Linked DNA regions of Daphnia pulex. The protein of the gene in region 2 interacts with the protein of the main gene of each other region in a biochemical or structural test. Links are inferred from orthologs where the notes say so. Each region holds a gene or a part of one and is shown on either strand. Other genes may lie near its edges.

The links. The genes of interacting proteins can lie anywhere in the genome.
Region 1: the proteins of hsp90 co-chaperone Cdc37-like (region 2) and heat shock protein 83 form a complex in vitro, tested with the Caenorhabditis elegans proteins (3 studies listed by BioGRID). The link is inferred for Daphnia pulex from reciprocal best matches to the Caenorhabditis elegans genes cdc-37 and hsp-90.

Annotation. Positions count from the first base shown.
Region 1 is NC_060026.1:16,238,531-16,242,965, reverse strand, and holds the start of heat shock protein 83, read right to left. Parts: upstream 2,936-4,435; 5' UTR 2,423-2,935; intron 2,284-2,422; coding exon 2,021-2,283; intron 1,957-2,020; coding exon 1,665-1,956; intron 1,597-1,664; coding exon 967-1,596; intron 900-966; coding exon 1-899. UniProt on the Caenorhabditis elegans protein: Molecular chaperone that promotes the maturation, structural maintenance and proper regulation of specific target proteins involved for instance in cell cycle control and signal transduction. Undergoes a functional cycle that is linked to its ATPase activity.
Region 2 is NC_060026.1:6,136,692-6,140,502, forward strand, and holds hsp90 co-chaperone Cdc37-like, read left to right. Parts: upstream 1-1,591; 5' UTR 1,592-1,717; coding exon 1,718-1,750; intron 1,751-1,921; coding exon 1,922-2,055; intron 2,056-2,123; coding exon 2,124-2,288; intron 2,289-2,373; coding exon 2,374-2,754; intron 2,755-2,827; coding exon 2,828-3,017; intron 3,018-3,081; coding exon 3,082-3,252; 3' UTR 3,253-3,311; downstream 3,312-3,811. Other genes in the region: U1 small nuclear ribonucleoprotein 70 kDa-like, read right to left, coding at 3,419-3,522, 3,585-3,655, 3,712-3,811.

The sequences.
Region 1 (4,435 bases), about 10 Mb from region 2:
GCTTCTTCACCACCGGCAGGGACATCATCTTCATCAATGCCCAAACCCAATTTGATCATGCGGTAGATGCGAGAAGCGTGGACGGCGGGCTCTTCCAGGGAGAAACCAGATGACAGCAGAGAGGTTTCAAACAGCAACATGACCAAATCCTTGACGGCTTTGTCGTTCTTGTCAGCCTCTGCTTTGACGCGAAGGGCTTCGATGATGGGGTGATCGGGGTTTATTTCCAGGTGCTTCTTGGCGGCCATATAACCCATGGTGGAGGTATCCCTCAAAGCCTGGGCCTTCATGATACGCTCCATGTTGGCTGTCCAGCCGTACTGGGAGGTGACGATACAGCAGGGAGACTCGACCAAACGGTTGGAAATGACGACCTTCTCGACCTTCTTGTCCAAGATGTCCTTCATGATTTTGCAGAGACCTTCGAATTTGGCCTTGTCGCTCTCGCGTTTCTTGGTTTCTTCATCATCTTCGGGGAGTTCCAGACCCTCCTTGGTGACGGAGACGAGCTGCTTGCCATCGTATTCCTTGAGCTGCTGGACGACGTATTCATCAATGGGCTCAGTCATGAAGATGACCTCCAATCCGCGCTTCTTGACAAGCTCGACGAAGGAAGAGTTGCTGACTTGATCTCTGTTCTCGCCAGTGATGTAGTAAATGTGCTTCTGGTTCTCCTTCATGCGGGAAACGTATTCCTTGAAGGAAACCTGGTCCTCTCCAGAGGCGGAAGTGTGGTAACGGATGAGGTCAGCGATCTTCTTACGGTTGGTAGAATCTTCATGAACTCCCAACTTCAAGTTCTTGCTGAATTGTTCGTAGAATTTCTTGAAGTTCTCCTTGTCCTCGGCCAACTCCTCGAAAAGTTCCATGCATTTCTTGACCAAGTTCTTGCGAATGACCTGAAGTAGAGAAAAGTAATAATTAGTTTCAGTTAACGATGTTGACAAAAGAAATAGAATAAATTACCTTCAAGATCTTGTTTTGTTGGAGCATTTCACGAGAAATGTTGAGGGGAAGATCCTCAGAGTCGACGACTCCCTTCATGAAGTTGAGGTACTCGGGGATGAGCTCCTCGCAGTTGTCCATGATGAAGACACGGCGGACGTACAACTTGATGTGGTTCTTCTGTTTGCGGTTCTCAAACAGATCGAAAGGTGCACGACGTGGGACGAAGAGGAGAGCGCGGAACTCAAGCTGGCCTTCAATGGAGAAATGCTTGACAGCAAGATGATCCTCCCAGTCATTGGTCAATGACTTGTAGAACTCTCCATATTCTTCCTGGCTGATGTCATCGGGATTGCGAGTCCAGATGGGCTTGGTTTTGTTGAGCTCCTCATCGACAGAGTATTTCTCCTTGATGGTCTTCTTCTTCTTCTTGTCTGTTTCCTTGTCGGCTTCTTCATCCTCACCAACATCTTCGACCTTTGGTTTCTCCTCATTCTCGTCCTTCTTTTCTTCCTCCTCAGCCTCATCGTCGCTCACTTCCTTGTCGCGCTCCTTCTCGACCAAAAGCTTGATTGGGTAGCCAATGAACTGCGAGTGCTTCTTGACAACCTCCTTGACTTTCTTCTCCTCCAGGTAATCCATTTGATCTTCCTGCAAATTAAAGAAAAAACAAATATTAGCATACAGGAAATTAAGCCAGCGAAGACAAAGAAACATACCTTCAAGTGGAGGACAATCTTGGTTCCTCTACCCATGGGTTCTCCGTGATCAGGCTTGATGGTGAAAGAACCACCAGCTGACGATTCCCAAACGTACTGCTCATCATCATTGTGCTTGGAGTGAACTGTCACCTTGTCGGCAACCAGGTATGCAGAGTAGAAACCCACACCAAACTGGCCAATCATGGAGATGTCAGCTCCGGCAGAGAGGGCTTCCATGAAAGCTTTGGTTCCAGACTTGGCAATGGTACCCAAGTTGTTAACCAAATCAGCCTTGGTCATGCCGATACCACTAAAGAAGACACAGTACAGTTAAATAATTGCTCTAATCAGAAAAACTTGACTTCTAAACTTACGTATCACTGAGAGTGAGGGTACGGTCATTCTTGTTGGGGACAATCTTGATTTCAAGATCCTTGCCGCTGTCCAACTTGCTAGGGTCAGTCAGGGATTCATAACGGATCTTGTCTAGGGCATCTGAGGAGTTGGAGATCAACTCACGCAAGAAGATTTCTTTGTTTGAGTAGAAGGTGTTGATGATCAAGCTCATAAGCTGAGCAATCTCGGCCTGGAATGCGAAAGTCTCGGCTTCGGCTTCCATTTGAACTTCTTCAGGCATCTAAACACAGACAAATATATTTAAGTTAGAAACGTTTGTCAATCGTGGTACATTAGACTCAATAATTCAAATTCAAAATATTTTTGTACTAGCGGCATATCAAAAAATGAGTAAATGAGCAATTATTTTTTAAACTTACTTTGCTTTAGAAGATAATTAAACAAGAACACAAGATTGTTTGCAAGAATGGTCTCGTGGAGAGTTTTTCCCGTGTGGAGATGCGATGTTTTTCGCTCAATCGCCGGTTGAAGACTGTGAAGAGTCGAACACGAGGGAGGCCTTATATCAAAGAGGGACCCGGGGAATCCAACGTTGTAGTAGTGGAAGCTACTAGAACAAACCATAGGGGAGGAGGGGGTTCGAATTCTCTCGAAAAATCGAGAATGTTCCTTACCGAAGGAAGTCTTGGTGTTGCCGCTTTCAAACAATTACACACAAACTCATTCAATTTACCTTATTTTTAATTTTTAAATTCACACAAATTCTGTATATTTCTCAAGTATTGGTGGAATTTGAATTTTGAGTGGCTACTGATATTTTTTGAATTATTTAAAATGTTTTCCAAAAAATCGACACCGAGTCTACCGACCATGTGTTTTGACGGATCGTTGATTCGGTGTTCGTAACCGTTTTTAACCGTCAATTCAAGTCCCATCTGCTGTCTAATGCATCTGTTTGTATGAGTTGGTCTGGGATTATCATATTACCAACCAGTTGACACATGCTTACTAATTTTGACTAATAATATCATGTAATGAAATGTTTCAGTTTTTTCTGCATTATTGCTTTTTTCGTAAATAATGCATTCTTGCTTGTAAGAAACGGTGAAATCATAGTTCACCTTTTGCCTTTGTAATAGCGAGTCGAGATTCGAGAAACGTCTAGAAAGCCTCACGTCTGGTAAACCCCACGTGGTTTTTCTTCTTCAGAAATCTTTTGTTCACTCAGTCGATAAGATTACAACGAGTTATAAAGTTTGTAAACCTGTACAACAAAATTCTTGTTGTTATAAATTTTGTACAGAAAAAAAATAAAGAAGATTTTTTTTTTAATTCTTCAGCTTCAGGCAAAACAATTTAATTCAGGTGACAGATAGGAATGCCCTTTAAAGCCTTGAAGTAAACAGAAGCTTGACATTGAGTTCTCCAAGAGCAATTTTATCTTGTGGAATTCACATTAAGGTTTTTACTGAATTTCACCTATGGCGTGTGACTCATAACGAGATTTTGACTAAGAAATTATCATTCTTTCCTTCCAGGCTTCCAGGAAACTTGTTCGTATTTATATCGAAACAGATATTTTCCTTGAATTTAGGCCCCAACGTCGAATGCTGCAGTGCGGCATTAGACACAGGTTTACACACACCGAGTTCCTCTGTTGGGTTTCCTCTATGTCAATGGCCTAGGTTGCCGAACCCAATTCCCTTGTAGAGATCAAGGAATGAAGGTGTGTCATATCAACGTTGCGTAATTGACCTCCAATTGTTGTTATTTATTGCCATTAACCAACTCCCAACATTTTAATCGTAAATGAACTTTATGTAGTAATTATGAGTCGCAAAGGGTGTGACGATTTTAAGATGATGGTAGGCTGTGTGGTGCAAGATGGACTTCCAGCAGTCAAACTCAAACCATCTGGTTTAATTATTTTTATCACAGGTGAGTAGTGACAGGTGTCAGAACTACCAGTGCGCACAATGCACGAACCATGAAATATCTATGAACGTTTCAACACAATATAATTAATTGTTTTAAATAAAAGGCTTTGATGATGTTAGCAAACGATCAATTAATCGATTTCTAAATTAACAGATATCGGAAAAAATTAAATGAGAAAACCTGCAAGATTGTTTGCAAGTTTTGTTCAGAGGAAAACATTTTCTGTCTGCTGGTGTATATTTTATTATTTTGCTTCCTTAATCCTTATCGTTGTTTGGAAGTTGGAAACTTAAAAGATTAGCAGTTTTTACTGGCTGAAAAAAATTTTGAAAGCTATTCTTACTTTTGCTTGTGTAATAAGATGAGATTTTCAAATCAAAACTGTCAATAACAATTCAAGTAGTTAAATGTAGAAAATGCTTTTTTTGTTACATGCAAGTAAGAGTAATTCTTTTAAAATTCAACAAAGTATGTAGAAAAAATTCTACTCAAAA
Region 2 (3,811 bases):
ATACGACGCGTCATGGACGTTGCCGTGCGTCAGGGTTGACACCTTAGTGATTTTGTACCAAAACGCAACAGACGCTTCGGTCCCAACCCTACTCACCCGATGAAGGACTAAAAAACATCTAGACCTCTCAGAGAAAAGATTCCCTATTTCGAGAGAGTCGATTTTAAAGAACAGATAAAACGTTATTTTTCTGAACAATTCAAAAAATTAGCTCTGTCATTCCAGGAACATTTAGCCAACCTGAAAACCCAGAACCCGTTACTGGATACAATGAATGGAAAGATTTAATCATAGAACCATTTAAGGACCCATCTGAGAATCAATTTTTTAAGAACGAACTGTCTGAAATTGAACAAAAAGCTAACGAACGAGTAAGAGAATTTCGCCCACGTTTAGAAACATGATTTGTTAAAGCCTACAACGGAATGCTTTTTTCCATAGTACAAATGAAGATATGACTCTCAAAAGAAACGACATTCGAAGGAAAAAAAGAATGCATTTGAAGGAGGACTCAAAAGGGAGTTACTCCCAGGTGAAAACAGAGTACTGCGCGATGCTGACTACGCAACATGTGAAGTCACAGCAACAGATATAGAAAGAAGTTTAGCACGCAAAAAATCAACTTCTCACAAAAACCGTCATTCACAAATAAGCGCTATTAGTTTACACAAAAAATTACTTTTAGTATTATTCGAATTACTTTAATTGTCTTTTAATGATTTATTTTAAGTTTATGGTAACCGCCATAAACTCCGTGTTAAACACGGCTCGAAGCCTCGAACATTTTGTCGCGCTGTTAAATTAATTTTAAAATAATAAATGTTAACGAAAATGTAAAAAATTTGTAACACATTTTTATCAACAGTGTTGTGGCCGATATTTTTTTTTTACCGCGAGCCCGGCCCGATTAACAGAAACAAACATCATGTCAAGGTCGTGATCTTTTTTGCGATCGCCGCTAGATGGCAAGGGGAAATGATTACCAACGTTTTCAAGAATCAAGACAAAGCACAAAGCAATTTGCAAAAATACATTTAATCACTGAAACTTTATAAACTTTAATGTATAACAATAATTTTTTATATAAAAATAAAAACAATAATTTATTGGTGGTGCTATTTAAAAAAAGGGTTTTTTTATTAATTAAAGATAGCGACGATCGCAAATCTGATCGAGCGATTTCTGGCCTGCAATTCCGATCCCGGTCGCGTTTTTCAGTTTGGATCGCGATCGCTAAAAATTTACCGTGGTCGTGATCGCACGATCGAACGATTGCAATCGTCACGACATTTTTTATTAATAAAATAAGTATCAGTTTATAATGAATAAATTTTTTGAATTAAGACCCCTATTTCCCGTATATAAATGTTTAATGGTTCATTTCTTTAAGATCCCACGCTACGATTTTGTCCGGGTTTTATTATGTAAATAGTGTGTAATGTGTCAATAATGTTCATTTTTCCTAAAGGCTAAAACTAAAACCCCCCTTTTTTTAGCTAAAATGGCCTTAGTAGAGACGAAGTTGCTTTAGTCCATTCAGGAACAAGCTCCACCCATCGCCAGAGGGGTGTACCTCTTTGGAGTTATCACTTAGGCAAAGGTTCAGTTTTCTGCCACCACTCTGTCGAGTCTACAATCGTAGATTCGTAGTGTTAGCGTTTAGATAATCTGTCACTTTCCACTTTTCCATTAAGTTCTTAACTTTATCGCGAATAAAATGGTAGACTACAGCAAATGGAAAAATATCGAGGTAAATTGTTGCTTCAAAAATGTTGTGTTGTTATTTTACCATATTTTTGCGGGTTCTCTAACCTTCTATTTATTGTCAGTATAGTATTTAATCGTAATTAAGTATCGTAATTAAGTATTCGTTATTTATATGTTTCATTTAAACACTCACGTACTTCATAATACTTTACAGATATCTGACGATGAGGATGATACACATCCTAACGTTGACACGCCTTCTCTGTTCAAATGGCGACACGAAGCTAGATTAGAAAAAATGAAGGAAATGGAACAAGAAAAAGCTCTGTTTCTCAAAGCAAAAAATGAGTAATGCTAAATAACTAGCTTTAATGTTTTTGTTAAAGTTTACATTAAATCAAACTTTTCTAACAAAGGAACACTGCCAAACTAAAAGAAGTTAAAAGTAAGTATGAACAGGTGATGAAAGAAGGTATTGATGTGACAGATTTGAAAAAGCAATTGAGTGAATTAGAATCGAAAAAAATTGAACTCGAAGATCATGAAGAACAAATGAAAAAAAAGGAAAAGTTGATGCCATGGTATTTAAAAGATTCACTTCAATATATCCTAATGTGATGTCTAATTTCAAAGTTTAATTGTGGTTTTTTTGCATATTTTTTTTAGGAATGTAGATACAATTAGTCAACCTGGATTTTCAAAAACTGTGGTCAATGTTGACCAACCCAAAAAAGTGAAAGAGCTCACTGAAGAGGAGAAAGAAATCAAAACACGTGAATTTTTCAAGAAACATGAGAAAAATCTTAAGGCATATGGAATGCTACAAAAGTATGATGATAGTAAGCGTTTCCTTCAAGAAAATCCAGAGCTGGTTTGTGAAGAAACAGCAAACTATCTCGTGATTTGGTGTATTAATTTAGAAATGGAAGAGAAAACAAGTTTAATGGAACATGTTGCCCATCAGTGCATTTGCATGCAATTCATTCTTGAATTATCCAGGCACCTTAACAGAGATCCAAGATCATGTGTGTCTTCATTCTTTTCAAGGTTTATCTTTATATTAAGTTGTCCTTTATGTAGCTATAACTAAATGAATTGTTTACTATTTTATCTCTTTTAGAATTCAAATCGCAGATGTTGAGTATCGTAAAGGATTTGAAGACGAACTTGTAGCTTTCAAAGACCGTATACAACGGCGGGCGAAAGAGAAAATAGAAGCTGCAATTGCCGAAGCTGAGGAGGAAGAAAAGAAAAAACGACTTGGTCCTGGAGGGTTGGATCCCGTTGAAGTATTTGAAAGTTTACCGGAGGTATAATTGAGCAAGACACATAAATTTCCTTCCACATATATGAATCATGTGTTTTGTTGTGTAGGTTCTTAAGGATTGTTTTGAAAAACAAAACATTGAGCTTCTTCAACAAGCAATTTCAACACTACCTGAAGAAGAAGCACGGTTTCATATGAAAAGATGTGTTGACTCCGGATTGTGGGTACCCGACGGAAATGTTGCTGGAAATATTGCAGAAAATGTTGCAGAAAATTAAAATACTAGTTTGGATTATTATATTCATTAATAATGAATTAATACACTGGGGCTTTTGAATAACGTGTATTTGACGTTTTTACCTCCAGTTTCATACTCACCTCACTTTAAAATTGTAAAGTTAAAAAGCCTTAAGAACAGACAAGTTACTGCTATAAAAACATACGCTAGTATTCTTCAGTCTGGAATTGCGACTCTTCCACTTCGTATTTAATGTTGTCAGGATCATATTGATTATAGCCATCATATTGTTGGGCCGTATAGTCATAATCTGCAAATTTCAATTCCACAAATTAGTAATAGATATTTTTCATTAACAGCTAATTCCAATACCATCAGGCGGTTCTTCCTTCACTCGCACTTGTTCACCATCCTCCCGAACATAGTCCCTACGCTCTCGTTCCCTGTGAAAAATTATTCATTAAATTCTGAAGTTGAATTCGATAATTTGATTGCTTACTTATCCTTGTAACGATCGCGACGTTCCCGGCGATCCTTGTTCTTGTCTTTAACTCGATCTTTTTCTTTGCGACGCTCATCGCCAGAAGCGACTTGACCAG